4 linked regions of the Danio rerio genome follow. The protein of the gene in region 4 interacts with the protein of the main gene of each other region in a biochemical or structural test. Links are inferred from orthologs where the notes say so. Each region holds a gene or a part of one and is shown on either strand. Other genes may lie near its edges.

Region 1 (7,893 bases), on a different chromosome or scaffold from region 4:
AATTCTTATTGCCAGTTAGGAGTTTTGACGCTAACCTAATGTTTTGGTCATAAAATGATCATGTCTCAACTCTCAAGTTTGTCTTAAGTCTCATATACATTTTTAAAGTAATGTTTGTTCCAAACTTTGATTGAAAAAATTTATGAGATGAAGTACTTGCAGTATTTAAAATGAATTACTCATTCTGGGGTAACATTTACATGAACCCATTTGGCAGATGATTTAATTCAAAGAACTTAATTACATTAAAGGTACACATTTTACCTAGGAATCAACACGAGGGCCTTTACATTGATGATTGTGGTTTTAAATTAAATAACATTTTCATTTTCTGTTTTCTATTTTAGCACAACTATAGAGAGAATTTATCAACTTTCTTCTTCAGCTCATAACCTAAAGTGAATGTGTCTTTTTTTCCAATAGAATCAGACAGAATTAGAAATACATTACAGTGAAAGCCTATAGCGATGATAATAAACTTTCAAAAATCAAGAGACTCTTGTGACAAATTTGCTTCTCCTTAATTCAATTTTATAAAAATTTAACCTTGCACTAGGACTAGCTAAATATCTAAACCCAGTTACTTTCTTTTGGTATTAGAAAATGGATATCATAAGGGGATTCACAACTGCATATCCCTGAATACACTGCCATGTTCTGCAAACTCCATTCACTATTATTACAACAGTAACATGCTAACCAGATGTTCATCCACTCCGAAAGGATAAAGTTTATAGCTCACGTAAGATTTCTTTACTTAAGAATTCAAGCAAAGACTAACAAAAATACAAGCTTCAGATTTCTGTATTTAAGTCCCGTGGGTCTGCTTGTCTGCTCAGTTTCCAGTATAAGTGCATTTACTATGTGGAAAATTGCTTTAAAACCAGGGTCCCTGAGCTGTCAGACACACAAAGAACAAAACATACCCATAAGAGACAGGTTGTTCTGTGGTTTAAAACTAGTACAACAGCATGTTTTTGCTATTGCCTTTAGGCTCTTGTGAATGCGATATTTGTTTACCAAGAAAGTGAGGACAACTAACACTAAACAACTTTATTGCGAACTTATTGTATGACCTGTGCGAACCAGACTTTTGAGCTTTGATAAGAACATGATGGCACAGAAAATAGATCTTGCCTGTATTTCTGTTTGCAGCTGTTCCTTTTCTTTCTGAGCCACCCTGAGACTTGCCTTTAGCTCCTGAAGCTCACGCCGAGTCTCACTTAGCTGAACCTATACACCAACACAAATTTGTTTAAAAAAAACCCAAGACTCATGATTTCAAATATTTACTTGACATTACAAACATATATTGACACCTTCATTTACATTCAATTTAAATAGCAAACGTCAAATATAGGTCACTAGTCAAATTTCTGCAAGCAAATGATAAGCATGTGATATTGGCCATGTTAACTCCCAAGTGTATTAGACAGGTCTAAAAACTTAGTTTTAATTACTGATTTTTAATAACTTGATTTGGCTGCATGCCATTTGTTAATATTATGTTTATATTTAAGTTTTAAAGTAAATGTTATTTATATGCATCTTTTTTTTCTATAGTCTTTCTTGTAAAAAAAAAAAAAAACACGCCGATCTATACCAAATGTAAAATTCTCTTTATTTTTACGTGATTTTTACTGCCTAAAAAGCTGAATTTCCATGGCCTATAATGAATGGAAAAACAGTGTTACTGTGCTTAATTAATAAATAAAGCACAACATTAAGTCGAAAGTGCTCATAATATTCAAATAGTTTGAGCTGGAATTTTTCATCAATGTAATAGCTATTATGAAAGCAACAACATAATTTATCAAGATTTTTTAAATAAATGAAAAGAAATGAGCACACAGTCTAACACCCTGTCATCGACGTGGTCATTTTCGAGACAGCTATTGAAATTTACATTTTGTTGACATGTTTCTATAAGTTAACAGGTACAGCTTGATGACTGCTGGTTAACAAGCAGAAAGGAATAAAATGGCACTGAAAAAAACAACAATAGGCAAAACGTGTGAAACAACATAATAAAAAACAAGATTAAGTACAGAAAAATGACATTTTGATAAATGGAATCTAATTTTAAGCGACAAACAAAAGTCTCTGATATTCCCGGGCCTGGACAAAAATATTTAAAATTCCCTGACTTTCAATGTCTGGAATAGACCTTTTAAAATCAAAAATTCCATGACCCTTGGGAACCCTGAAGAGAGTTTTCTGTTTACCCGATTGCAATCTTTCTCTCTTCCCAGCTCCACCACTGCTTTCTCTCTCTCCATCCTTGCCTTCTGCAACATCTCCTCCTTCTGCTGGATCTCATCATTTTGGCGTTCCAGACGCACTTTGTCAATCTGAAAATTAATGCAATCACTTATATGAAAAACAGTCTTAAAGTTGTTTTTTTGGTTTTGTTTTTAATATACATTTTCACTATACTGTATGTACCTCAGCATTCTGCTGCAGTGTCTCTCTCTCCTGTGCCCAGTTGGCCCTGCCTTCTCTCAGAGCCAGACTGGCATCTGCTAACTGAAGTGTGAGCTGTGCGGCCTGCAGACGGGCCTGATGGAGCTCAGCATGTGCACTGTCTCTCTGAGCAACCATGTCTCTCAGCTCTCCCCTCAGAGTCTCCACACAGTGTTCACTAACATTCAGACGCTCCTGAACACTTCGGAGTTCATTCAAAGCCAATTCATTGGCTGCCTGCTCAACAATGACACAAACATGAAAACGTCATGCCCTTATCAGACTACAGTTCTGGCGTCCATTTTAGCTATCTTTTCATATATTTCTGTGTGTGTGTGTGTGTGTGTGTGTGTGTGTGTGTGTGTGTTTGTGCCAAATTTATACCAAATTTTCGGGAGTAATTATAAGAACTGTAAATGCACAAAACATGAGGCTGTTATAATTTTTTAGAGTTGGTGCTGTTTTTGTTAATAATAAAATTACCTCAGCATCACAAATTAAGCCCATGCAACTCTGAATTCAATTCTACTGTCAAATGTGCATATCTGAGAAACAAATCTTGAATATTTAACAATAATAATAATATTATTATCATATTTGCAGCACAGCCAAATCAGACAATGCTTCGACCATTCATACTGCTGACAAGTGTTAGTTCTAAAGGGTCTGTTCACCAAAAAAATAGAAAATTATTATTAATTACTCTTCCTAATGTTGTTCCAAACCCCTGAGACCATTGTTTGTCTTCATCATCAAATTAACATATTTTAAGTGAAATCTGAGAGCGCTCTCATCCTCCATGGACAGCAAGGTTCAAGATTCAATCAAAGTCCAGAAAGGTACCAGAAGACATCCACAAACAGACCATGCTTTTAGTGGTTTAAAATGAAAAATATCAAGCTACGAGAATAGTTTTGTGTGCACAAACAAAAACAACTTAATTCAACAATTTGCTTTTCTCAGTGTCAGTATCTTGTGCACATTCATGACTGTTGTTGATGTTTTTGGTGTCTTGGTGTCTGTTTTTTGAATGAGCCTTGAACTTTGCTGTCTATAGAGGATGAGGGAGCTCTCAGATTTATCCTAAAAAAATCTTTATTTGTGTTCTGAAGGCTAACAAAGGTCTCAGGGGTTTGTAACAACATGAGGAGTAATTAATAACAATTAATAACAACAAAGCCTTGTAATGACTACTTACATTTAGTTTACATTTACATTACATTTAGTATTTGTTTAGTTTTGTTTGCATCTATGTATGTACACCTAGGTTTCGGTTCATGTGCTGTATCAGGGCTATAAATTGCGACAGTTTTGGTCACATGCGGCTGAAATTTTATCTATGCAACCTCAAAAAATAATTGGGAGCGTTTGTGCATAACGTTGGCATGCGACCATTTTCACTGCAATATGTTCACCGCATGCGCGGATTTAGAAGACATTTATGCAGAATACATCTTTGTCTGCTGTGAAAATTATTAAAGCATTCACTGTAAAGCTGGTGTGACGGAGTTTGCAGGTAACCACGTTTGCCACATCTTTACTATTTAAAGGGCACCTAGGTTACCCCTTTTTTCAGATTTAATATAAGTCTTGTGAGTCTCTAGAATGTGTATATAAAGTTTCAGATTAAAATACCCATCAGATTTTTCATTATACCTTTTACAAGATGCTGTTTTATACTGATTTCCAGCAGGGGGTGGTTTTGTCGTACTGCGCCTTTAAGACGAGTCTTTCCCGCCTACTGTTTCTAAATGCCTCCTCCCTCAGCTGCGTCAAACAACAGACAGACTTAAAGGAAGAAGGTCTCACGTAGCGTTTGTGAGATACTACAGTAAGAACTAACCTTTACTAATCAGTATTGTGAAGTTGCATTGATGAGTCACACACAATATCGTTACAAATTGCGCGCACACACACACACACACACAGATACACACGCACACCGCAGATGACACACACACTCACGGGCAGGCAGACAGACAGAGCGCGCTTAGCTTAGTTAAGGCTAACCTCAAGTACTGTGATGATATCTGTTATGCTAATGTACAAAATAAACCTGATTTAACTTCCACAAACCGGGATTGAAGCGTCTTCTTTTATAATTGTTCTGACACGTGGCTGTGCTGATGAAGTAAAGCGCTGTAATTAGTTACACACATACTCTGTTTTAAAACACTTGAAAACATGTGAAACTTACTCTTAATCACATTTGATGATGATTGCTGATCCTAGCGAACAGAACAGACCTTTTATTCCCGGTTGCTTTGCGTATGTCTGCCTGGTCTTGTTGACATACACGTGACTACCGGAACATGTTAATGCGCGCAGCTGTCAATCAATTCGGTGGGCGTGGGGATCGCACACCTACGTAATGGTGCGATCGATTTGAAAACAGCTCCAATTGGCCGACCCTTTTTTTGTAGTTAAATTGAAAAAAAAGGACTGGGTGTGTTCATATCACCCCAGTATGACGGTCTATACACTATACCAACACACAGATCTGTCCAAACAGCTTGAAAAGTAGATTTTTTACCATAGGTGCCCTTTAAGCCTGAGAGATTCTATTTTATCCTTCTTTTAATTGTCATGCAGTCAGCCATGCAACTGGCAGCTATATGTAAAATGTAGCACAGTGTACACCATAGCAAAAGGGCTTACAGTCACTAAGATTAACCTAATATTGCAGCTCATGAAAAGATCGGTATTGCTATTAAGATTACGTATGCAAATAATGTTAATAGCGTCTTTGGAATATCAGACACCACCTGTGAGAACAGCACAGTTATTATCAGTAACTAAGTTTCATTCATGTCAAGAAGTGTGTGGGCGCATGAAGATTTTTTTGTTGTTGTTTATTAGTTTGATTAATGTTGATTTTAAATGAAGTAAATCTGTTAATATAAAACTTGTAGTAACGGTGCTCATAATTGGTGGGTGCGACTACATTTTGACTAGTGCTCTCAAATTTTTTCAGTGAGGAGCACCAGTGCTACTGAGCAAAAAGGTTAATTTTGAGCCCTGTATATTATTGTCAATAATGCATGATTTCAGCCTCTTTTGTGCAGTTATACAATCTACCAGCAGGGGCTGTCTGGACCATACAAATCAGTCAAACTTTGTCCCCCTTATAAAAATAGCATGCACTTTAAGATCACTATTTCAAATCACTGTTTTGAGACAGGACATCCTGTGTACACCTCCTCAGACATTCAAGGTGAAAGCTGGGGTGTGAAACTGCTGGAGTGTTACCTCCTTCCTGTGAGCGCTGTTGAGTTTGTGTGTGAGGGTGGTGATGGTGTCTCTAAGCTGCAGGGCGTGTGTGTCTCTCTGGGCCAATGAGCTTCTCAGACTCTGGAACTCTGCTGACAGACTGTGCAGCTCTTTCTCTGTCTGCTCCATCTTTAACTAGTATAATGCAAAAAGCAATGACACGTCATGAGCATGTACATCTCTTCTATTTGTAAAAAACTGCATTGGTATTAGATTAGAAACCTTCAGGTTCTTGTGTTCATCTTCATCCTCCCTCTTCTGAGCTGCTGATTTTTTAGCCCTTTCCCTCATCCTACAAATCGCAAACATGAGAACCAATGAAAACATGCAGCTCAACGAGACAATAAAAACACTGTTTAGAAGTGGATGCATATGTGCACAGTATATGAAACACTAACATGGCCTGATTTGACCCAGAGAACACAGTAGAAATATTTACTTTTAAAACACATTAATTGCAAATATACTTGACTAATGAGAAAATAATAATCATAATAATACAAAATCTTGATTATTGATCGCAAGTGGTCACTAAAAACACATTTCAGATATGCTAATATAAGGTGAAAACAAGCATGCACTACAACACAAGCAGTGTGGTTTGCACCACAAACAAATAGCTCTTCGAAATGCAAATGGTTTCAGTCATTGATTTCAGCCTTCTAAAACTATTTCAACTACAATCAAAAACATTTTTTCCTGATTTGACAAAATACATTTTAGCTGCTGGAATTTCAGTGCTGCATTAATCATAAACATAAATCATGGTACACTTATTGCAGTTATGATTTCTGACAATAATATCTGTTATTAGCTGATTATGTTACTACATTCCTTAAAGGCACAGGTTATGGTTACACTTTTTTTTTTTACAATGTCCTAGTTACTATACATTTACACACTGAATGATATTCACTTAATAATTGTACTATAGGGTTACAGTGATGTTAAGTTGATGTTTAGAAGGTTCAGTTGCATGTACCATAACTGTATAATTTATTATTACTATAGTACAAGAAACTTATAACAAAGGACATCATAAAATTGTGTCACTTGTCTCGCACTAATGTTTTGAAATAGTTTAAATCTGTAGAGTTTTAAGCATCAACACTAGCTACATGTTTAAATTCCAAAATGCTAATTAACTTTATGCGCAAAACTTGAATAATGCATAAAAGACGTGTGAATAAAGCAGCGTTTCCATCCAACCAGTCAAAGAGAACAAAATCGTCACTTTCTGATTAACTGGTGCCAAATATCAACAGTTAAAATGGAATTTGCTGCGATACGAAAAGCAGCGTGGATCTTTTTCTTATTTAATAAATGACTTTCACCTCAGAAAACAATGACGACACGCAATGAGTGTGTGGTGGCATTTAAAGATGTGAGACAGAGCACAGATGCTCTTGACAGTTCTGACTACGTAGCTAGTGAGATGGAAAACATGAAATTCTAAACAAAATGTAAAGCTACACTTGGAGGACAAAAATGTTACAAAACAGAAAAGTTTTGGGTGTTTACATGGATGCTATAATGATGACATTAAAAAAATCTTGCACTTTAAAACCTTTGTTTTAGAAACAATTCATTGTGTAAACAAACAAGCAACAGTTTTTATGAATTTGCCCAAAAACAATGTCGTAAATAAATGGCCCCTATGTCCGCATCGACATGTCATATATAGCAAACAAGTACATTCAAAGACTAGAAGATACAAAGCCTCCCACCTTTCTAGGTCAGTCTCTCTCTCCAAGCCCCTCTGGGTCAGTATTTTAATGTCCTCCTCAAGCTCTCTGATTCGCTGCTCATTCGCTTCTTTTTGAGCAAGCAGGGCTCTTTTCTCCTCTGTCAGGGCCTCGCCTAAATCCTCAACTTCCTAAAAGAGAGACATGATGGTAGTACACTAAACAGTAAAACTAAAATATGTAGCTGTTATCATTTTACCAGTGTGTGTCTCTCTCTCTGTGTGAACATATATACAACAGTAAACATAGTCAAGACAAAATATGCACACAACTGTGACCTAGGGCTGACCACACAGGCTGATGAAATGAGTGTTTACACTACCTTCTGCTTCTTCTTCATGTCCTCCACTTTCTCTCTATATTCTCTCACTTCCTCCTTCAGATCGTCGATCTTCCTTTCAAGCTCCTTGCGTGT
Region 2 (7,893 bases), on a different chromosome or scaffold from region 4:
TCTGTGGTTAGATTCCTGACACTACTAGCCATAAATCATCTTCCACTGTCAATAAGTGTGAGCCATAGCGTACATGCAAAAAATGTTAAGTATTAAGACAATACTTTGATTAAAAGTGTGCCATATAAACGGCGATATTTGATTACCTTAATTCGTCTAAAGTCATAACTGAACTAAACAGAAATGGAATTAAGACATGAGTTTGCATATGTTATTGGCATTATTGAAGTAAACACCGCAATCCAACTATTACCATGATGTAGGACATTTTGCCGAAAAGATCTACACACACAAGATCAATAAACACAGCTGTCAGTAAAGGATTGCACACGCATGCACGCACACACAATGAAATGCAGAGGTTTTTTTTTCTGCTTTCCATTCGGCTTTCCATTAAAACAACACTCCTCCACCAATCTTTACTTTATATTCGCATCTAATACCCCAGTTTGTCACAGGGGCGTGAATGAAATGTTCATGAGAGAAAGTGAAACTTGAAACGAACTGCAGTAAAGTCGAAAAACTAAAGATGAAACACCCAAAATCACATGAGCCTCTGCAGGAAACGCAAATAGCCTGGTGACGCAACATTCATAAAGCACTTCACGTAACACCTTAATTATATTACTGTCTTATTAAGGCAAATAACTAGTCAGTAGTGTCTTCAAAGTAAGTGAAAGATCCATTTTTTTGTAAGACAGCTCACCGGTTTGACGGGTTTTCACCTTCAATCATTTTATAAAACACGTGCTCCATTTTATTTGTATATATTTTACTGGAACGCATTAACTCTACAGGTGCCTGTAGGTTAGCTGTGGAGCAAACATTAATCATATTCCCTTTAGTGGACGCATAAAAATAGTCATCATAATTTACTTGAGTGCACGACTCAATGTCTCGCAACCCCCTTAAAAGGGGCTGGCGCACCCCTCCCCTCCCACAGTTTGAAAACCCCTGATCTAGCCAATTGAAGAGGAAAAATCTTAAGTGAGCTATTAATATTGATACTTAAATTATTATTATTTTTATTACAATTTAGTTTTTTCCAACTAAACTAAAAGAAATAAGAAAACAAACATAAACGAAATACTGTGAAAATGTCCTTGCTCATTTAAACAAAGAATATTTGAAAAATAATAAAGATTTCACAGGAGGGCTAATAATAATGTAAATGTACACTTTTGGCTTCAGAGGTTTTGCAGCAGACCAGAGTATGTGTGGTATCACATATGTTAATTATAATAACAATAATAATAATCATTATAATAACAATACAAAAATTTGGAAAAATAAAAAAGACTAGTGACGGGAAGGGGTTTGGACCAAGCAATTGCATCCTCAGACTAAAAGAGACTTACCTTGCACTCTCCACGGCATTAGAGGACGACGTGAGCCGCTCGTCCAGCAGCGTTACTCTGCGTCTCAGCTCTGCCTCTCTGTCCTGAGCTGATAAAGCCTCCCGTGTGTATGAATCCTCAATCTCTAACAGGTGATTGCGCAATCTCTCCACCTCCTGCTTCAGCCGCTGCTCTTTATCGCGAGTATGCTGGAGCTACAGGCAGACAGGAGAACATGAATAAACAGTAATTCCACTATTGCAATTCTTATAAGATGTGATGATTAATAACAAACAGTAACAATAACAAACACAGCCTTTTCTACCTCGCTCTGCAGTGCAGATGTCTCCATTTGTTTCTGTTTGAGGGCCATCATCACTTGATCTCTTTCTTGCTGAAACAACACTGCCTTCTCCTGCATGGACCGAACTTCATTTAACAACTGGTTCAGCTCACCAGATTTACCCTACAGTACAGACAAAAGCGCGACAGGTCAGTTTCACAACATATATAAAACACAGCGTTTATTCCATCATTATAAAAATGCACTCTTTACAGTATTAAGTATGTTGGGAATGCGAAATAAAATACTTATTAATAATAATAATAATAACAACAACAACTCAAAACAACATTCAGAATTCTCTTTTGTACATTAAACATTAATTTATTTGGTCAAAATAAGTGTAACAAGTGTAAAACTGAAACATTACAAGTATAAATGTTTTCTATTGTGTTTGAAAATCCAATTGATTCCTTTGAGGATGTTAAAGATGCATTTTAATAGCTATTATTTAAGTCCTTAGTGTCACATAATCCTTTTTCCCTAGAGTTCATTGATTAATTTGTTTGAAAATGTTTAGTTATTTTTATAGAGTGACACAAATATTGGTTTAAAGGGTCACGAAACACCAAAACACATTTTTTGAGCTGTTGACAGTCGTATATGTGTCCCACACTGCTAAAAACACTATTAGGACACCTATATTTCACTAAAAAGTGTAAATTGGTTGTTTTTGCTTTATTTCAAGCAAATTCGTACTTCCGGTTTGAAACGAATTTTTGAAGCTGCGTCACGGTCATGACATAATAGCGCTGTATTCCAGCGTGCAGACTGGGCGTCTGTGCCAGAGTGAGTCTTATTACGTCTTACAGTGTGATGCATTAATGCATGAGTAAGGCTTGGTTCAAACCAATCAGCGCGCTCTATTGTGCAACTTCATTAATATTCATTAGTGTCACCGTGTTTACGCCCCAGAGACGCCACGTTGTGTTGGCAAAACAAGCGTGAAGTGTTGCTTTTATAGTTTGCTGCCATTAAGTTTGTTTTCATTTTCTCTCTGTGAGAGCTCATCTGGAGTCACGTGTGGATTACAGTGTACGCGACGCTCGACAACAATAACTTACGTGTCTAAGGAGGAACATTGTTTACCTGAGAGCTGTTCTCATCTGCAAACGCTGAAATCCGGATTCGCTTGTAACGTTAGTCTTCTCTTCATAATGACGCGGCTCTAGTTGCTGGTGATTGTCCTGTCTCTACAGATTTGGTAAGTGAGCGACCAGTGCTCTTTGTTTATTCAGTTTGTTCGTATCGAATTAAGTTAACTATTGCACTGAGTGCAAACATAGCACCGCATTTTGTGACCGGAATAACACACGCGGCTTTCTGACGCTACCTGCCGTGTGCATCTAAGTTTCCGGGAAATGCAGAGTTTTTTTTCTCTCATTCGCCGTGCGGTATCAAACATTGCATGAAAAATACACGCTTAGAGCAGATCCTCGAATCAAATATCTCGTTTGTCGGGAGGGACATTAATGAATTCCCTGAATGAAAGAGCCAAACTGCAGTTAAAGTCCAACATTTAACAATTTGGCAAATAATTCGACTACAGATGTCCATGTAGGTTAAACACCATCACTTTATCATGTGTGTGTATTTTGACTGAAACTCACGCGTGCCCACATAGACACTCCCACACCATCCCACTTTAGTTCCTCCGACACTCCCCCCTAAACAGAGCTGGACACGCCCACTTTTCTGACTTTTTCCAAAGTAGAGGTGTGAAAACACCCTGCTGAAACGAGGGGGTTTCATGGCCCTTTAATATCTGTCCTATGACAGGAATTCTTAAAAAAAATGTATTACTGATAATTTACCTTAATATTCTAACACTCAAACAAACCAAGAATCAGACATACCTGCTCTTTATCTTTCAACATCTTCTCCATGGCAGTGGCCTTCTCATTCACAGCACTGAACTGAAACTCTCTTTCCCGAAGCAACAGTGACACCTGCATGTTGGTCTCCTGCAGAGCACGAAACTCTGTCTCTTTCTCACGAGCTTTGGATGCAATCGCTTCATTCTCATCCTTCAGTTTCTTCACATCCAACTCCAGGATCAGCGCACGTTCCTTCAGGTTTGTCACAGCCTGCTTCAAAACTTCATTGTCGTTCTCACGGTTGCGTAAAGTCTCACTCACCTGGGGAGTGTACAGAAAAACCTCATGATCAACACCTTTGCAATCTACATTCAATCTACCTTCAATGTCTTTTAAATCTGGAGAGAGTTTGTATATTTGCACGCACATGCGTGTATGAAGTTATGTATGAAGGATTCTTGAAATGATTTTAGAATAATGTTGGTTTATTAATTAAAACCTTGTATACATATCATGATATGATATGCATATTTATACAACAGTTTAGTCTGGTTCTTGAATCTGATTGGCTGATAGCAGCACGTTATTCTGCAAATAACAGCACTTGTCCAGCCTCTTAACCCTTCACCCTTGTGCAATACTCGGCCCACATACAGCAACAAGCAGAGGACAGTCTATAGTTTGACAATTATTGCTGCTGTTGGACAACATACTGTACTTTTGAACCTTTTTAAGTCGAGAATGTAGTTGTTTAGATTGCAACTAAGCAGTTTATTTATAAGGATAGTGCCTATTTTAAATATTTATAATATCGGAGCATTGGATTCAGTGTATCGTCCGCCATCAGCCTGAGCAAATCCAAGAAAGTGATGATTGACTTTCCGCCACAAAATGGTGACAGAGACCACATAATAAGTCCTTAGGGGAGAAAACAGCATTTACTTAGTGTAAATTTCAAACTACAACAGAACAAATCATTATACATCAGGTGGGTGACATTCTAAGTCGATCTCTCTCTTGTATTTTGTAGTGCTGTATTTATACCACAGAATCTGGTAGTGTTTGCTTTGCTCTGGCTTTTTTTGGGTTAATTATTGTGAAATCCTGATTGCAACAGAGAAATACCAGGAAATCTCTGTAGACTGATGGCATTTCATGCCGTTTAGCTTGATAATCTTAAAATGTGAGCAAAAAAATCACCTGTTTTGTCATCACTTTGGTCATTACGCAGGAGAATGATTCAAAAGCTAGCTCTAAAGTGATGTTGGTAAAGTAGCAATGGTTTGGTAAAGTAGCAATGGTTTCTGCTGTTCTGACTGTCAGCAAATAGCTTAGATCTTAGTGATTCTATGATCTTTGCTGTCAGCTGCAGATGTGAATGAGTGGTAAAAGAAAGTTGTTCCTCATACAAAAGGGTTTTTGAGACTCTGTGTTTGATTTTCTTTCTTATACACACAATTATGCCGTCGAACAGTTTTACAAATACAATATCACTCTTGTAGTATTGCGATGTGGCTGTATCTCGTAATGGGTGGCGGCACTAACGCACGCCTTCCACCAGTGTCGATATACAGCCACATCTGTATCAATATTACTCTTGTAATATTGCTCATATATGAAGTTTGTGTGTACCGTTGTGTAATATTATTGCCGTCCTTTTAACCATATTATTGTCCATTTTATCAGTTTACACAATAAAATAACTGATAAACTGATAATAACTTTATAAACACCAACCTGTCCGGGGACTAGGGATGAAAACTAGCATTTTGACACAATGCAGCTTAGGTATTGTTGTGTATTGTCCTTCTACATTACCTGCCCGAGCTGGTCCCCTTTAGTCTTAATGAGTAGATCTTTCTCTCTGAGGGAACGCTGCAAAGATTCTTGCTTCTCTCTAGCTTGCTTGAGCTCCTCTGCATGGCTTCTCTGCTCACTTTCAGACAGAGATGCAGAATTTGACAAGCGATGATTGTTTTCCTGCAAAGTTCTTATCATGCTCTCTTTCTCTGCTAAAGTTCTCTGCAATGCCTGCATATCCTGATGTATATGGTCATCTTGGGCTGAAGGTGCTGCCCCCCTCAGGTTTGAAGGGGCAAGAGCCTGGCTAGGAACCATGGCAGACAATTCTGGAGATTGCTTGACACTGCCAAGCTTCCCGAGGAGAACGTCTTTGGTACTGGTCAGCTGGCTGATGGTCTGCTGCACCTGTGCCAGCTCTTGACTCAACAATCCAAGCTTTTTCTCTTTCTGCTCATAGCTCTGAATAAGCCTGGCATAATCCACAGATAGCTTCGAGCTTGAGTCACTGTCGGCAGAAACCTGCCCCTGCAGCTTGAGCAGCTCCTCATGCAGCTGTGCAGATTCATGCTGCATGTTCCTCACGGTCGTGATCACCTGCTGCTTCCACTCCTCCATCTTTTTAACTTGCTGTTTGAGAGTGTCACGTTCCTGTAGGAGCTCCTCAAACTGGTTGCTGCTAACACCTCCAGAGCCACCACTCACAGGATCACTGCAGCCAGATGTTTGGAGGACAGAAACCAGGGTCTGGCATTTCTGTGTCAAGGCATCGATCTCGATGTCTTTCTCACGGATAATGCGGGAGAGGTTCTGAATGGTCTCTCGAAACATCTCTTGACTCCCTGAAGGGTCGCTCATGGTGGAGAGCCGCTGGTTTTCTTGCTGAAGCTTTAACAGGGCTGCCTCCTTGGCAGCAACTATGTCCATAATGCGATGGTAGTCTGAGCGCAGCTGACTGTTCTCTCTGGTCTTCTCATTGAGTACAGCCAGCACCTGTTCCCGTTCCACCGCATACGCCTGCAGCTGCTGCTGAAGGAACACCACATCTTGACCATGGCCTCCAGACACTCGAGCATGAAGCGCTTGGATTTCTAGATCCTTCTGGCGCACCATCTGTGAGAGTTTTCCCAGCTCATTTTGAGATACTACAAGTTGGTCCAGCTGCTTGGTTAGACAGAGGTTCTTTTCATTGAGCTGGTTAATTTCAGTCTCCTTCTCCTTGATGCCTTTCACAAGTTTCTCAATTTCCACCTTTGACAGGTCATGTTTCTCATTACCGTTTTCACCATTCAGAGACTGGGTCTTATCTTCCTGTAGAATTTCCACGGACTGTATTTGACTTCGTCCTTGTGTGCTTAGGCCCTCTACTTCTGACTGAAGCCGGGCAATCTCTTCATCTTTAGCACTGATGAGTCTTTCGTAATTGAGTGCGCTTTGCTCGTTTCTTGACCGTGCTTGCTCTAGTTCACTTTGAAGGGAGCGTTGAGACTGCAGGGCTGTTGTCTGTTGTTCTTCAGAAAGTCTCCTCAGAGCTTGGACCTCTTCTTTGAGTTGATCTCTGGCAGCTTTGAGCTGGGCGACCTCATTCTCAAGCTCTGTGATGATATCCAGTGTCCGTGGCTCTGACATTAACTGTGGTCTGCTCTGCTGGTCCCTCAGACGGTCAATCTCTTCTTTCAAATGGCTGTTTTCTTCCTTCATGGCTCCAAGCTGTTTGTCTTTCTCTTCCACTGACTTTCTGAGAGAGTCACACTCTTGACTTGCTCTCAAGATACGGGTCTCCAACTCTTGTTGTGTTTCCACAGCTTGAGTTTTTAGGGTTTCTGCAAAAGCATCCTTCTCCTGGAGAAGCTCAGTGAGTTGATTTTGGCCAGCCACTGTTATGTCCAACATCTCGCTGGTGTCTTTTTGGTCTGAGATCATCTGCTCTATTTCACGCCTAAGCTCTGAAATTGTGAGATCCTTTTCTTGATTGAGTTTCACCATTCGCTCATGTTCGGTCTGCAGTGCAGAAGCATCCATGGAACGTGCTCTGGTCAGTTCATCAATAGTTTGTTGATATTGTTTAGCCTGATCTGACAGTCGCTTCTCAGTCTGACTTAGCTCAGATTCTAGCTGGCTCTTTTCTAATTTCAAGGCCTCAATACGGGTGTCTTTCTCGAGAGACATCCTGCTTAGAGAAGCTTGACATTCTTGGATATGCCTTTCCAAGCTGTCCGTCTTTTCTAAAGTCCGAGTCCTTTCTTCTGTCAACTTTCTATTATCAATTTTCAATTCAAAGTCTTCTGAAACGGCCCTCTCGTAAGAGACCTTCACTTCTGCCAACTCTGCTTTTAAGTCATGGATGTCTTTATCCCGTGCCTCAAGTATTTTCCTGTGCACTTCTAACTCATTCCTCTGCTCCCCTGTATGGCTTAACTCCTCATGAAGTGCAGTAAGTTCTGTCTCTCTCTGCTGAAGCGCTCTCTTGAGCTCAGAGGACTCCTGCCGCAACTCTTTGCCCAGATCCTGGGACTTGCACAACTTTTCCCTCAACTCCTTTACTGTAGCTTCGAGCTGCTGCTTTGCCATGTGCAGTTCATTTAGGGAGAAGGCA
Region 3 (8,378 bases), on a different chromosome or scaffold from region 4:
TGTAAAAGAATGAGTGTTGAACAATGTCAATCTTTGATGAAAAAGACTTTGAATTGTTGCATTTAAAAAATATTTACCTCTTTAGTCTCAGGAAGATTCGCTTCTACCATATTTTCCTTGCTTTCAGAAACTACCTGGGGAGATCTGGAGGGGGGACAAAATACAAATCAATGGAGCTCGTTCTTATTTGCTAAATGCGTTTATACAAATAGAATTTGAAAGCATTCAGGGTGCAATTAATAAGTTCATGCATCCCCTTAGAATAAAATGAGGTAGCTAGCAACATACACTGCTTTTGAGCAATAGAATCTGATATGGAGCTTTAGGCCTCATTTACACTTAGCAGAATGGACTGGTACTCTTCAGTAGGAGTCACCTTGACCAAGCTTGCATTTCAACCATCAAAATACCAAAAAAGAAAGCCTTTCAGGTCGTTGTTGCACTTTTGGCAAACTCAAATTAATTTCAAATATAGACGTGCATGCAAAGAAAACAGCACCCTTTTGGACAGACTCAAACAATAGAGGCAGCAGATTTGGTCTTTGCTTCTTGGAATTTAATTGCAACAAGATCAAAACAATCTAGTATCATATTAATATGGTGTCATGCGTCTCAGCTGTATTTTTTTGTTTTTAAATTTTCGATATTATAATCATCTGTAAATCCATTCGGTACCGTACTGTTGCACTAGGTACTAGGAAAGAGTGCCAAAAAAGTAACATGGTATTGTTTACTGCTTTAATACTTTTGACGGTGGAATTACAGTTAAATATGAAACCGTACTTTCAAAACCATGCTATTTAGTAGAATCAGGCCATTATTAGCTTGTGCAGATAAGAAATGTTCAGCGTTTTGTGTATGCGGTGTACGTACCGTTGCTCAGGTTGGTCATCCTGCGCAGGAAGTGTCTCAAGTTGCTTAACAGGAGATTGTGCTTTCTTCAAAACTGGACTGGTCTGGACCCCACGTGGTGGTGAGTTTCCCATCATAGCCTTTGTGCCAAAGGGGTTAAAGTTTGGGTTATCAAATTGTTCAAAATCAAAAGTGTAAGAACCTTTAGCAGAAGGAATATCCACAGGTTGGGTCTCCTCTGGGCTTGTAGGAGACATCTGCTTGGGTTCTGCATCTTTTTTCTCTGTGACTGGTGCATCTGTTTTTTTGGGCACAGGTTTTGCACCAACAGGTCTTTTGACCCCAAGGCGTTTTGGAGGAGGTTTGCGTTTAACTTCAGCTCCATCATCAAAATTAAACTCTAATAGCATCTGGCTCTCCTTTGGGGCAGTTGTAGATGAGGAACTCTCTGTGGCAGTGGAGTTCTCCTGAGGTGTTATGGATGGATCGGAGGATGTTGGGATATCTGTCTGGACTGATAGCTCTTGTTCAGGTTCGTGGCTTAGCAGGGGTGGGTCAAAAACTGTTGATGTTTTGGTTGGAGGAGAGTTGGGGATCTTTGACCCACCAGTTTGGAATGGGTTGAGCATTTCAAGGTTGTCAAAATCCAACTTGTAAGATCCTGCAGAAGGTAGTGGCAAGTCCTGTGCCTCGGGTTGACCCTCAAAAACAGGAATCTGCTGTGGCTCTGCCACTGGGTCAGTGATCTCAGTCTCCTCTGTTTCATTGGTGCTGTTTTCAATATTCTCAGTCTTGAGGATGACTGTGCCCTCTGCTGAAGAGAGGTTGGCCGAGCATTCTGCAAGGGAATTCTCCACTGATGGCACAAATGGGAGAGTCTCATCAAGTGCACTTTCAGTCACCTCTGGAACTTCAGCCTGAGGTGCAAGAACAGGGGCTACGTTGCCCTCTGTCGATGAGATGTTGGCAGAGCATTCTGCAAGGGAATTCTCCACTGATGGGACAGCTTCTTCAAATGCACTGTCAGTCACTTCTGCCTCTGTCTCTACCTCTACCTGGGGTGCAGAAACAGGGGCTATGGTTGTGTTAGACTCTACAAGCTCTGATGTTGCCGCCTCCGTAAAAGCAGAAGATTTAGGTGGGGAATTCGCCATTTTATTGGAGCCCTGGAAAGGGTTGATGGCATCAATATTGTCAAGATCAAAGGAATAGGCCCCTCTGCTCTGAACAGGCATGTCATCATCAGGTAAAGCAACACTGTTACATTCTATGTCAATTGGTGTGGTGTGAGTGTTATTCATCAATGAACTCCTGAAAAACACAAAAGGAGGTTTTACACGTTAGCATATTTGTCCATTAAAAACAGGTTAAGAGGCTTACATAAAAATATTTTAAAAATTAATCTTTAACCTAGTTTTCTTATGAATACCTTGTACTATTAGAGTGGTACATTAAAGTTGACAAAATATTGTTTTAGCACTGAAATATTGTTTTGCAATGTGGGCATCAACAATAGTCAAGAAGAAAAAGTAATGTCAAATAGGAATCCTATTTGAGCATGCACCACAGGTCAAACATGATATGTGGATTCAATTATAAAGTTGAATCATTATATTGTGAAAGATTTGAAAGAAATATGTCCTTTCACCGTGAATACATCCCAAGCAAGTTTACAGCTTTCAGACAAAATTTTTGAAAACCCATGTTAATATTATTTGGAAACAGGATCATTATGTTTTACCCATCATTTTACACCAGAAGTCTCTGGGTCTGTTCGAAGAAGTGCCTTTGGTGGAAATTAATATAAATAAAAGGTACACCAAATACACAAATGGTCATCAACAGTCCTGAACAATTGGAGATGCAGGTAATTTACTCACTGGTCAGAAAGGCCTGTGAGAGTCTCTAGTGCATTTTTGTGATCATCCTGGCTGATCGGCCTACTGGTGCGGCTTGGAGACATGATCTTCTTTGTCACTGGATCTCGCCGTGGGGTTTGAAAACAAACCTATATAAGAGAAATTAAGTAACGTGCAGGTTAGTCTAAGCTGTAGTACAAGGCCAAGAAAGGGTTCAATTATTACATGCAAAATAAAATTTATAATAGTACAAATAAATACTGCATTTGTGAATATTAAAGAATCCAAAATAAAATGTAGCATGGCTTCAACAAAATCGACCTGCCATTCATAAGTGTTTTTGTTTCTTGAAAAGTCACTCAGATGTGCTCATATGACACTAAAGAAAGTGTCTATAGAAAAGGTAAATTTACAGTCAAAGGAACAAGTTACTTTTTAAAATGGAAAACACTTGGTTTATAACCAGTGATTTTATTACACATTATACAGTACAGAAAAAATACTGCATGGAAATTTGTCAAGCCCACCTTTGCTGCTCTAGGAGCAGTCCTGTTAATGTTGTCAGCCTGCGACTGCCGCAAAATCGAGGGTCTGCCAGTCGGCTGATCCAACATGAAAATGTCACAAGCGAATTCAGAATTGCTGTTCATCCGTACAGCTCCCTGATTCTCCTTCAGCGCGTCAGAACTCATACTGTAAAACAGAGACACAGAAAATGACAACATGGGTTTTGGAAAGTCACGCCCAGCAGGCACCATAAACAGCTGCTTTTGCTGATAAGACCCGGAGGCGGGCATCTGACCCAACACCCAGAGACCCTAGTCCTGAGACACTTCAAATCTGTTGCATCTCCTTTCAGACTAACCCACTGTGACTAATAACCCAAACCAGTGACAATTTAGCCTTGTGCTGAGGGAACAAAGTGCTTCTTTTTAGTGAAAAAAAAAAGAAAAGAAAAAAAAAAAAATATATATATATATATATATATATATATATATATATATATATATATATATATATATATATATATATATATATATATATATATCATGATCAAACACTATGCCAATCCCCTGATACTGTGATTTTTTTGTGAGAATAAGTAGGAACAAGGAAGAGATTGACAAACAAAATCAAAAAACAAAATCATTACCACTTCTGGCCTTATCTGTTCTTGCCTGGATTCTGCTCAACTATGTAGGCCTGACAATATGATTGTCAGCTTTGTATTTGACAGGTACTTCTGACAGCTTCTCTCTCCTACAGCTTACCTGGACAGGTGATAAACAGCTCACTATCATAAATCAAATGATCACATTTTAACCTGAACAAAAGTGAGATATCAGATCAATCCCTCACTTCAGTGGAAAAATATAAATAAACCACATAACGTTTAGCACAGCCAGAGAATTGAGTGCAAGACAGAATTTAGCCTAACAGCTCACATACCCACGTGGATGACAAAACAACATTGAATACATGAATGAATAAATAAATATAGAATTTGTTATTTATTTAAAAAAAAGTTTTTAATGCAAATAAATTAACGTTATCTCCAACAGTGCTCAAAATCAATAAGTTACACGTAACGTCATACTTAATGTTAATTCTACATTTTTATGCCCTTTCCATACGAACTTTAGAAATTTAACTATAACAGAAAAAAAATCTCTAACGTTACATAAAGGATAGCTAACAATCACTTATCGCAATCTTAAAATAACAGGATTAAGTTAACGTTACATCAGAATGTTCGACGTTCTGGCAACACTCACGTAGCAAAAAAGTCAAAGCGATTAAGTTACCTTTATGGTTTCATATCGCGCATTAATAACTTACAATCCTATAAACGTGGCTCGGGGGCGGTTTTCTAAAATACGTACCTTATTCAAACTGCTCAAATCTAATAAAAACCGTTTTCTTCGCAGAGACAGTCAGCTCGACACACAGCATAGAGATGTTGTTGTTGCATTTATAACTTTCCCCGTTTGAAACGGTTCAAATTTAAACGGCGCACTCTCAGCCAATTAAATGCAAGAATCAACTCTCGTCAGGCGGGGCGATTATACGAATCGACCAATAGCATCGCACGTCAATCTGCGCTTTTGTACAGGATATACATTTGACAGACATCCAAACCAGCCAATAGGGTAAGCCGTTGACGCAGACGGTTTATGAAGATAAATAACCTCATTTAACCCTTTTACTTGTTGAAAACAAGTGTAGATTTGACAGTGTAAACTACTGCTGTTGTTGTAGCTTAGATATTAGATATAACTGTTTTGTTTTCGTTTACAGTGTTTCGCTGTACTGAAGATGATACTTTAGTTTTGAGTTGTCTTGAAAATGGAAAGTTATCAGGGAAGAGTGATGTTTTGAACCACAATGTACTTTCACTGTATGTTTTCTCCATACAATGAACGTGACGACAAGCTTTGCAACAGGGTATGTATTAAATATGAATTTCGTTTCATATTGCAATAACAGTGCATGTTATGGACATAATTGTCTTTTATAATTTTAGTTTTTGATAATATATTTGCTGTTAATCAACGCATACATTAAATCATTTTGTTGTTGATGCATTTTTTTAAGCTTTAATAATAACTATTTTTTATTATTACCATCAGACATGGCAATACATGCATGTGATATACTTGTCATTTAAATGACAATGTACTTGTTGTTTTGAATTTAAAAAAATGTATTGTAAAGAAATTGTTTGTATAGATTTCAATTACAATGCATATTTATTTCAATATATTTTTGTCATGCAAAAATCACTTCAGCATCATTTACGGACGCAAGTTTTTACAGTTTTATTAGTTTCTAAGCTAATACATACAGAAAATAATAATATTAATATAAAGGTAAAAGATTGCAGAGGCACATGCTTATGCATAATTAGTTTGATCACAAATACTCCATTTTCTTCTACAAAAAGTGATTTTTTTAGAATTAAGTGGTGATTTTAAAAAAGAATCCTCAAAATTTCTTTCACAAGGTAAAAACCATTTACCATGAATTTGGTAAAACGCCTTGAAATATATATGTTTATTGCTGTTTTTGTGCATTATTATGAACATAATTATCTTTTTAAAAAGTATAGTGGGTACAATAACTTTTTTTTATGATTTACCTAGCTTTAATTACCCATTTTTTTAATCATTACCAGCAGTCATGGCAAGCAAAAGCATACATTTGATGTACCTGTCAATTTTGAGAAATTTTTAAATTTAAACGTAAAAAAAACACGTTTAAAAGTTTATAGTGTTTCCATAGATTTCAATTACAATACAAATTTTTCTCAGAATGATTTTTAATCACTTTTGGACTCCAGATTTATACAGATTTGTTCTTATCGATATTAATAAATATAGAAAGTAATAAAATTCATATATAGATAAAATGTTTACAGAGGTTTATACCCAATTTGTTGATTTTTATTCTGAATTTTCCGAATCAAGCAGTGATTTAATTCCCTTCTGTTAAAACCTTTTACTCTAAATATGCCAAAAAAGCATCAAAAATTTTGAACCTATTATCATTCAGTGTTCAGGTTTTTGTGCTAGAAATTTATGCAGAATAATCAATACTAATTATACATGCCTACTTAAATATAGCATTGTAGAAACTTGTAATACAAACTTTATGATTTTTGCAATTCTTAATGTTTTCAGTCAGCTGTGGAAGCATGGCGATAACTATTAATAATTATTTACCCTTTTCACCTGCAGTGTCTTGCCTTTTTTCGCAAGAGGGCAGCATCGGATCACATCCAATGCCTCAATGAGTGCCAGACTGTTATGGGATCATGTATGGTAAGCTTAAACAAAACAATGCGTGCATATATATGCCTTTGCGAATGTTTATGGACTTGTATACATAAAAATATTAGAAATGCATTGCGGTTGTATGTTCATTTAGTATGCCAAAAACATTTATAAAAGAATCAAAGACTAAACCAAAAAAGCACACTGAAGAATGGGCGGGGCAGGGTAGAGGAGAGGAGAGAGTTACATAACAAAGGCATGTTTGTGCTGAGGTCAGTCAGTGCATTGACTCCCTCTCCCCGCACTACTGACCTGCATTCAGCTTACATCACATACATTAAACACACAGGCTACGGATATCGGCTGTCCTCAGACGAGGTGATTTCATTTATTTTAAGACATAATCTGCATATGCATTTTCTGCATATTGTATTTCAGTCTGAGAATAATCTGAGCACATCTTTTGTAGTGCTTTCACAGTTTAGAATAAAAATGTAATAACAATAATTGTTTATAATTTATTTAATGTATTTGCTCATTCATTTGTTTACAATATTTAAGATCTGATATTTTATAGATGTTATAATGACCTGTTTTCTCATAAATGGTAAAAAAGCAAGTATTTTCTCATTATCTATTTTATTCATTTATTTAAATATTATACAGAACACACTGACCTTTTATGTATTATAAGTATAAATGTATTTATTATAAATTATTATTATCATTATTGGAAAATTCCAGTAAACATATCTATAGTTAAATCTGTGTAAAAAGAAAAATATATTTAGGCCTTCCCCCATATCTCACTTACTTTCATCTAAAAGTAAATGTTTTGAATGCAATATTTATGTTCATGTTGTTTTGTTAGAAATAAATCTGTAGGTTTTATAAATCATCCATGCTCACAATCACAAGATAAAAATGGTTATGAAACCAAATGATCACTGAAATGTTGCACAAAAAAAGTGAAACTAACATTTATGAGCTTACGAAAATAATTAAATATGGTTCAAATTGACCCAGACAGCAAGATATTCAGATATTTTATAAATCATCGAATGCTCATAATTAAATGTAAAAAATTATTATAAAACCAAATGATCACTGAAATGTTGCACAAAGAATTGTAAAACCACCATCTGGGAATTTAAGAACAAACATTTATATGCTTTAAATTGACCCAGAAAGCAAATAATATGTTTAGATGTTTTATAAATCATCCATGCTCACATTTAAAAGCAAAAATGAAACCAAATGATCACTGAAAGGTTGCACAAAAAATGTGAAACCACCATTTAAGAGCTTTAGAAAATAGTTTAAAAAATGGTTCAAACTGACCCAGAGAGCAAACATTTTATTTAGATATTTTGAAAATCAGTGATGCTCACAATTAAAGGCAAAAAATGGTTACGAAACCAAATGATCACTGAAATGTTGCACTAAAAAAAAAAAAAAAAAAAAAAAAAAAACGTGAAACCAACATTTAGGAGCTTAAGAAAATAATTAAATATGGTTCAAATTGACCCAGACAGCAAACATTATTCTCAGATATTTTATAAATCATCTAATGCTCCTAATTAAATGTAAAAAATAGTTATAAAACCAAATGATCACTGAAATGTTGAACAAAGAAATGTAAAATCACCATATGGAAATTTAAGAACAAACATTTATATGCTTCAAATTGACCCAGAAAGCAAATATTATGTTCAGATGTTTTATAAATCATCCATGCTCACAATTAAAAGCAAAAATTAAACTAAAAGATCACTGAAATGTTGCACAAAAAATGTGAAACCACCATTTAGGAGCTTTAGAAAATAATAAAAAATTGTAAAAAAGCGAGTATTATATTCAGACATTTCTGCTTCATGTGGATTTAAGGTGTGCC
Region 4 (7,893 bases):
GTGCATGTATAAAAAAAACACAGACACGTACAAAATACATCAAGTTAAAAATAATAACTTTTTTATTTTTATTTAAGGCTTACGATCCAAATTCAATTCCTCCTAGGGATGTAACGATTCACGATACTAATCTCACGATTCACAATTTAGTCACGATTTAAAATAAAAATATTTTAAAAGAATTTAAGGTGAAGAGCCCTTTCATTTCTTTCTTAAATGCTGCACATTTTTTGCAAAATAACACATCTGCCATACCTAAATTGCTATTTTAAAAACAAATAAATAAAAATTAATAAATGAATAATACAAATAAATAAAAATAAATGAATAAATAATACAAACTAAAGACTCATTAATATTATCAAAGTAAAACTGTGACTGTGCAGGGATTTAAATCGGGGAAAATCAAATAAAAATTTATTTTCCCTTGGTTTTGAGTGTGGGCCTGAAAAATCTTTATTCGAAGGGGTATTCACTCCCTCCCCTTAGCCCTACGCCTTCAAGCTAAAGAGAATTGGAACACCCCTACCCCTTGGTGTGGGAAAGGGAAAGGGCTAAGAGGTAGAATTGGGATTGGGCCTAAGCCTGAATGCTTTTTTCGTGACCCACCTGAGTCTGGAAGCCCACCGTGGCCGTACAGCGGTGATCCACAAACGTGTAGACACCCTGAGAATTGTGGCGGGAGATGAACTCCACTGGAACGCTGATGTTGTTTATGCTTGTGTCGCTCGGGCAACAGGTGACCTGCAGGTCAAACAAAGGTCACAAGGTCAGAGAGAACGATGAAGGGTCAGTTCACCCACAAATATTGAACCACCACTAATATTGAACTCTGCCCCTCACTGACTCCTCTGCCCACCCCTTACAACTTACACTGCCCATAACCATTGCACTATTTCATACTGCACACTTGACATTGCATTTAATCATTGCACTACACTGTACATACCCATTTGTAAATGCACATATCCACTGAACATATACATTTGTATGATATACATATCAATTTGTAATTCCTGTTACAGCAAAACCTATACAGTGAAAACAAATATTCAAAGATGATTCCTTGGATTTACCAAATTGTTTTAATTTAAGTGGTTGTAAACTATTTATTTGGTCTGAATCTAAACAAAGAAATTAAGTTGAACAGTACCAAATTTAATTTGTTTGTTTAATTTCAACCCGTATAAATTGTTTGCAACAATTTTGCAGGAATAATTTTTTTTTGTGCATCTTATGCTGATATGTATTTGCATATCCCTGATTATTAATAGCAGCCTTTACAATATGTTCATCTATTTGTAAATATCTGATTCTAGTTAATATGACTTGTATATTATGTTCACAGTACATCCATCTGTAAACATTTCCAATAGTTTTCTATAATTGCACTTTTTACTTATACCTGTAGCTATATCCTGCACTTGCTGCTATATGTGGAAGTATGCTAAAGGACTTTTAATTTGTCAGTAACCTAAGTTAAACGCTTCCGGTGAACTGTATGCCATTACAAAATCAGTGCGTTTAAGGTCTGTTTTCTTTAAAAAAAACAGAGAACTACTCTGGCTTAGTGATATCCAATATAAAGTGGGTCTCAGATTGTACAAGAAGCACTGCATTAAATTACATTTTCCCCCGCCATGTCTTCAAAATATAGACATTTATTTTACCCTAGTATATTCAATGGAGCATCTGTGCTAGCCTGTCGATTCTGCAAGTAAATGGCTTTTTGTCTCGTTTAACGCTTGAGCAACTAAATGAATGCCAAAATCTATTTAACTGCTTGTATTTTAATTACATTACAACATCGACGCTGTAAAAGGAACCGCATAAAATGGTTAAAAGTCACATTAACCGTTCACCAGAACTTTCAGTATGGGAAGAAACACTAGCTCCGCATATACCATAATGCACTCCTGGCTAGACTTAAACTGCATTTCCTGCCTTTAACATGTGTAATGAGAATCTAATCTAAAATAAATTCTTCAAAATTAAGATAATTTTCAATGAAACTTGAGCGATTTTCTCCATCCATTAAAAGAAATTCATAAAGACTTTGTAAAATGTAAGATTTGTTTATTTTTAAGATCACTTTCAATGTACCTGTTCTCCAATGCCTCATAATGCTTTGCATAAATTAACATAAAATAACTTCAGTTAAACTGTAAACAATCAGTGAAGCGTTTTAAAGGTCACATGAACTGCTTTGAAATATGCATTTTTATTTGATGTTTGACGTAATCTCAACCAAAACACAAAGAGAGGGTGGGAACGTGTACCCCCTGCCCTTTCTTAAAAACAGCCAATAGCATTTTGTTTTTATCCCATCTCAGCCAATAAGGTTGGTTGAGCTCAAGCGCATGAAATGAAAAGCAAATGAGAAGCTTATTGAAGGGGGCTGGGCATGTCAGGTATTTGATTGGTGCATATGATTGGTGTGATTTGATAAGAAACTGTAGTTTTTTTAAAAAGATTTATTTTTGGCCTTTTTGCCTTTTTTTTAGATAGGACAGTAATCAGACAGAAAATGAAGTAGGAGAGAGTAAGAAGGGGCAAGGTCGGGAAATGTCCTCGAGCCGGGATTCGAACTCGGGATGCCCTAGGTGGAAGTGACAAACTACAAGCTTTACATGTTTAGATCAGTTTTATATCTTCCAAGCGCAAGTTTTGACACTGTTCTGGAGCACACTAGCCTGTGGATATCTTAAAATCTAACAATACTTGTACTAACATCTAAAAACTTTATTTTAATTTCATGGGACCTTTAAAAAACTGAATACAGTGAGTTTTAAACTGAGGAGAATATCAACTCATTGTTGATTGTGTGTGTAGGGGTCGGACAACCACATACATGCCCAACACTGGTTATAAATAACATATTATTAAAAAGTTTAAACAAAGTTGACAATTAATTTTTCACAACAAAGCCATAAGAGAAAGATAATGAAGCAAAACCATGACTCAGTGCAGATTTGTTTTAAAGATGAATACATGAACAAAAAAGCAGTACCTGTAGCCTTCCGATGGCAACTAGACAGAAACGATTTCCCTGATTATTATCAGCCTCCTCCTCAGACAGGTTCATTCCTGAGAGGATAAAGCCAGATATTATTCCCAGCTCCACTCTGTGTAAACAATAGCCACTTCCGGTGTATTGTGTGCGTGTATACTGTACCTGCAGGAGGCCAAGATCTGATGTAGCCTGTGCAGTGGACAACCACATACTGCTGCTCGCCGTCTTTAGCAGAACCCAATCCGTTCCTGCAGAACAACAGGAGATGAGAGAAGGGTTAGTTCACGCACAAATTATAATTATTCCATGATTTACTCAGCTTTAGGACATCTTAGGTATAGCTGACTTTCTTCTTTCAGTCAAAGCTACTTAAATATATTTGAAGAGTTCACACTTAGCTGATGATTGATTATAAAGCTTGTTTGGCATGCTGTCCCAGAAGAGAGCCCTGAGCTCATAAGATCCTCGAGCCCAAGGCTCCTTCCCGTTTGTAAGGCGAGAGGGGAGTTTGAGCTCAGGTAGATCTCAGAAGTCCCCTGCTGTAGTAACTAATAAACATTTCGTGATTGCTCTTTAGAGATAACTACTTACTAGGAGCATGTCTATGGTGCCGATTTGGATTAGTCAATTAATTTAAGTTGCATGTTTTGGACGGTGAGAGGAAACCAGGGAACCCGGGGGGAACCACATGAGCATGGGGAGGACGTGTAAACTCTGCACAGAAACGTCAGCTGGCTTGGTAAAGACTAGAACCAGTGACGTTCTTGCTGTGAGGCAACAGTGCTAACCACTAGGCCACCTTGCCACCCATCTAGGAAAGGAGGAGGAGTAGGGGTGGAAGGGGGGATTCTTTAAATTGATGATGGCTGTTATATGGGACTGAGGATATTTATAGTACCTTAGGAATCGTCCGATATGATGAATCATAAATTGAATAATGCAGGACAACTGCAAGCAATCATAAGCAGCGATCCTCTTGACATTAGTTTATAAATAAACTTCACATCATTTTAGCCTCATTTAGCTCCACAATTACTTTTTTTCTCCAAACAGTTCAATACAAGTCCACGAAAGTGTACCCATTCATAATAAAGAAACGTTTCAAATGTGAATAAAGGTCTTCTGTGGTGATCTTGTTAGTTTTTTGTAAGACATACGACCACATAAACCTTTATAAACAGTTCTGTGCAATTTGTTAAAAGCACTGATTTGCTAAAGGAGACTTTTATTGATCATTGGAGCTGTGTGAGGCACTTTTTGTTATGAATGGATGAGCTTAATTATTTTGGACGGCTGATAAAAGCTTTCCAATGTAGAGCTGGAAACTTCTTTTTAAATAACTCTGACTGAAAGTAGAAAGTGATATTCACCTAGGATGCCTTGAGGTGGGTAAATGATGGGTTTTCTTTCACTTTTAGGTGAACTAACGCTTTATATCTATTTATGAACTGAGATTGTCTCACATACAGACAAAGAGAGACGCTTTACCTGTTTCTGGTCCTCAGGAAGTTCAGTCTGTTAAGAGACACAGGCTCTACTGGACACACTCCACACCTACAACACACACACATCATTTCACTTGAATAAGTAGATATTGTGAATAAATCTGTAAAATTATAAAAGCCCTGCAAGAGGGCAAATAATTTTGTCTTGAACTGTATATAAGAATTCAACACTTTTTTACATGACCTTTAAAATAAAGGGTTATTAAGGCCTGACATGTATAACATTATAAAAATGTTTTATCGGTTTAAAGACCCCAGTATACTGAAAATAAGTTATTTTTCGTAATTCGTTTGAGTTCAAAAAGAAGTTTGAAAAGTGCCAACATACTGTTTTCAAAAACTCTCAACACCCCCTCGCTGCAGTAGGCAGGGTTGTAAACGTTTCTGCTTATGTGTATCCCTAAACACAAACGGCCAATTCACATGCTTGACGGAGGGCATGTCTGAAGCTTGGTTCTGACACAATCATCATAGCAGCATCAGCCAATAAAATTAGGGCTCTATTTTGACGGTACATGAGCAGAGCGCAAAACGCAGGGCGCAAATGCTTTCAGGGCGTGTCAGAACGCGTTTTTGCTAATTTACGGATGGGAAAACCTGCCTTGCGTCGTGGTGCATGGGCTAAAAGGCTTGAGTTTATTTTCTTAATGAGTTATAGGTGTGTTTTGAGAATAAACCAATTAGAGTCTCATCTCCCATTCCCTTTAAGAGCCAGCTGCGTCGCGCCAAGAGCGCATTCGCTATTTACAGGACGCAAAGTAAGTCTAAGTGGAAAAAATGAGCATTTCACTAGCAAACAGTTAACAGTTTTTTAACAGAAAACTGTTAAACAGAGCATCTACTGCGTGAGAATGAGAGATAACGGATCTACTTTCACATTCGCTCTTGGATAGGGAAACCTTTACACACAGACATCAATTAATAAATAAATAATTTTGTTTGTTAAGTGCAAATATTCGTTTCAAAACTATTTCTAAATTCAGTTCTAATTTCCAGCAAACGAATAAATGAACAACAATAACAAAATGTGCTCAAAAACCTGAGTTATATCCTAAAACACATGCTGTGCCCCATATGGTCTAAAACCTGACAGGTGGGCAAATCTAAGCTTGTTTTTAATAAAACAAATATAAATATGGATATAATAAATAATACTGCTAATAATAATAACATTATACAAAAGCAAATTGTTATGAATGAACTGAAAAAGCCTCCCGAGATGAAGAAGACAAAAAAGCAGTGATTTTTCATATTTATGTAGGCTAGAAAATAATATGTTTTGTAATATTTTAATCCTTTATATTTATATCCTATATCTATTCTTATTATATCCTATATATATCCTTAATATTTAAATTTTTTCATATGAAAAGATATTTGCCTTTTGCTCTCTTGTGTGTATTAAGCAGTGTGTAAGCGAGGCGCAACTCTGCGCTGGAGTTTAGACCGGGTTTGTTTTGGTCTAATGAAAAATCTATTATAGTTTCTCAAAATAGCAACGCGCCAGCGGTCCGCCTCAGAACGCCTCCCTTTTTAGACCAGAACGCCTATGGGCGCACAAATGAGCGCTAATGCATTTGCTATTTAAACAGCGTAGCGCAACGCCTCAAAACGACTCTTGCGCCAAGCTGAAACTACCAAAAGACTATTGCGCCGCGCCTTGCGCCACACTGCGCCGGGTGTATGATAGGGCCCCTAGTCTGCAATTGGCTACTGTCTCAGCTAAGGTATTTACATAAAGCGATCTGATTGGCTGACAATTCTCTTTGCGCTTAAAAAGTTGAGAAATTCCCGAAGCAGTGCAGACGGATCCACAGTTCAGTTCGGCAGCACTTGGCGTCACCCATTCAAAGTGAATGGGAAGTGTTGACGCTGATGCCTGGCGTGAAGCAATCTAACCATATTGGCTGAGAGAGCAAGACGGTTTTGCAAACATCGGGAAAACTGTAAACTTCTCCAGGTTGTCACACACTGGAAGAGAAGAGCCACATCTTTACATTGTTTTCTATTTGCCACAGACACCGATCATAAAGGCAAATTTAAGACTTTTTAAGACCTTTATTAATGAAATTTCAGACTTGTATATGGGGCGTATATGGGTGTATATATGGGGAGATTTTTTTCTAATGTAAAAGGAAAAGATTTTCACTTTCCTCATCAAAAAAAATATATAATATAGTTATTTCTTAGCCACATATAATAAGTGTGTAAAAATAAGCAAACTGGTTTCATAGATGCGCTTTTTTTTAACACAACATAAAGCTAAATATATGCACTACTGTCTCTCCAGGTCAGTGTCCTCACCATAAATAAATGGAGAATGAAGAAACAAATGTTATTGTAAGGAAGGTAATTAAACTATGTTAAATAGAGGTAAATAAAATTAATAGTGAAACTGTAAATGTAAGACTTTTTAAGGCCTGAAATTTATTTCTAGCCCTTAACACCATGAAATAGGAGCAGCTTGTTTGTGTGTGCACATCTAAATATGACCATGCATTCAGTCTGTAGTGAAAAACAGCAAAAAGCGAACATTAAAAAAAAGTTAGATCCTGTAAAAACCTTTAGTTAACATTGCAATGAGATGATCTATAGGAGTAAAGCAGTGTGCTTTGTGTCTCACCTCATTCTGCAGATGAAGGAGCGCCTGGCACCCATACTCATCCTCACAGTCGCCTGACCACCCTCCTTCTTCACCGTGCCCGTTTTCATATCCAACATCCGGCCTAGAGTCAGAAAAGGGGAGCAGGATTCAAAGGTTTTGTTTATGTAAAAAGGGTTAACAGAAGAAAGTCATGCATAGCTGAAGTCAAAATTAGTAGCCCACCTGTACATTTATTTCTTTTCCAATATTTTTCAAATGATGTTTAACAGAGCAAGAAATGTTTCACAGTATGTCTGATAATATTTTTTCTTTTGGAGAAAGTCTTATTTGTTTTATTTTGGCTAGAATAAAAGCAATTTATAATTAAAAAAACATTTTAAGGTCAATACTATTGGCCCCCTTGAGATATATTTGTTTTTGATAGTCTACAGAACAAACCACTGTTATACAATGACTTGCCTAATTACCCTAAATTGCCAAGTTAACCCTTAAAATGTCACTTAAAGCTGATAACATTAATACTAGTATCTTGAGAAATATTATGTACTGTCATCAAGGCAAAGATAAAAGAAATCAGTTGTTCAATTAAATAAAATGAATGATTTGAACTAGGGATTTTCAGCAGAAAGTATGGCAGTGGTTTCTCACCGCTGTTGTTATTGTTCTCGGTGGTGGAAAGCTGCTCTCTGAGCTTCTCCACATCGTCTGGATGAAGCTGATCATATAGTGAAGATCCCAGCCAGTCTGACTGAGCCTGGTTTAAAACCGGC

What was found.
Region 1: the proteins of arnt (region 4) and calcoco1a form a complex in vitro, tested with the Homo sapiens proteins (2 studies listed by BioGRID, with this or other methods). The link is inferred for Danio rerio from reciprocal best matches to the Homo sapiens genes ARNT and CALCOCO1.
Region 2: the proteins of arnt (region 4) and trip11 form a complex in vitro, tested with the Homo sapiens proteins (3 studies listed by BioGRID, with this or other methods). The link is inferred for Danio rerio from reciprocal best matches to the Homo sapiens genes ARNT and TRIP11.
Region 3: the proteins of arnt (region 4) and tacc3 form a complex in vitro, tested with the Homo sapiens proteins (2 studies listed by BioGRID, with this or other methods). The link is inferred for Danio rerio from reciprocal best matches to the Homo sapiens genes ARNT and TACC3.

What each region holds. Positions count from the first base shown.
Region 1 is NC_133198.1:39,088,689-39,096,581, forward strand, and holds part of calcoco1a (calcium-binding and coiled-coil domain-containing protein 1), read right to left. Parts: coding exon 7,801-7,893; intron 7,610-7,800; coding exon 7,461-7,609; intron 6,026-7,460; coding exon 5,956-6,025; intron 5,869-5,955; coding exon 5,713-5,868; intron 2,701-5,712; coding exon 2,446-2,700; intron 2,352-2,445; coding exon 2,226-2,351; intron 1,234-2,225; coding exon 1,138-1,233; intron 1-1,137. UniProt on the Homo sapiens protein: Functions as a coactivator for aryl hydrocarbon and nuclear receptors (NR). Recruited to promoters through its contact with the N-terminal basic helix-loop-helix-Per-Arnt-Sim (PAS) domain of transcription factors or coactivators, such as NCOA2.
Region 2 is NC_133188.1:36,628,494-36,636,386, forward strand, and holds part of trip11 (thyroid receptor-interacting protein 11), read right to left. Parts: coding exon 5,316-7,893; intron 3,819-5,315; coding exon 3,537-3,818; intron 1,804-3,536; coding exon 1,663-1,803; intron 1,553-1,662; coding exon 1,359-1,552; intron 1-1,358.
Region 3 is NC_133188.1:39,349,458-39,357,835, forward strand, and holds the start of tacc3 (transforming acidic coiled-coil-containing protein 3), read right to left. Parts: upstream 4,712-8,378; 5' UTR 4,595-4,711; intron 3,983-4,594; exon of another isoform or gene 3,865-3,982; intron 3,405-3,864; 5' UTR 3,404-3,404; coding exon 3,239-3,403; intron 2,861-3,238; coding exon 2,733-2,860; intron 2,164-2,732; coding exon 874-2,163; intron 145-873; coding exon 78-144; intron 1-77. Other genes in the region: mfsd2aa (sodium-dependent lysophosphatidylcholine symporter 1-A), read left to right, coding at 5,097-5,156, 6,449-6,532. UniProt on the Homo sapiens protein: Plays a role in the microtubule-dependent coupling of the nucleus and the centrosome. Involved in the processes that regulate centrosome-mediated interkinetic nuclear migration (INM) of neural progenitors.
Region 4 is NC_133191.1:4,802,177-4,810,069, forward strand, and holds part of arnt (aryl hydrocarbon receptor nuclear translocator), read right to left. Parts: coding exon 7,772-7,893; intron 7,245-7,771; coding exon 7,142-7,244; intron 4,568-7,141; coding exon 4,502-4,567; intron 3,262-4,501; coding exon 3,176-3,261; intron 3,088-3,175; coding exon 3,011-3,087; intron 745-3,010; coding exon 610-744; intron 1-609. UniProt on the Homo sapiens protein: Required for activity of the AHR. Upon ligand binding, AHR translocates into the nucleus, where it heterodimerizes with ARNT and induces transcription by binding to xenobiotic response elements (XRE).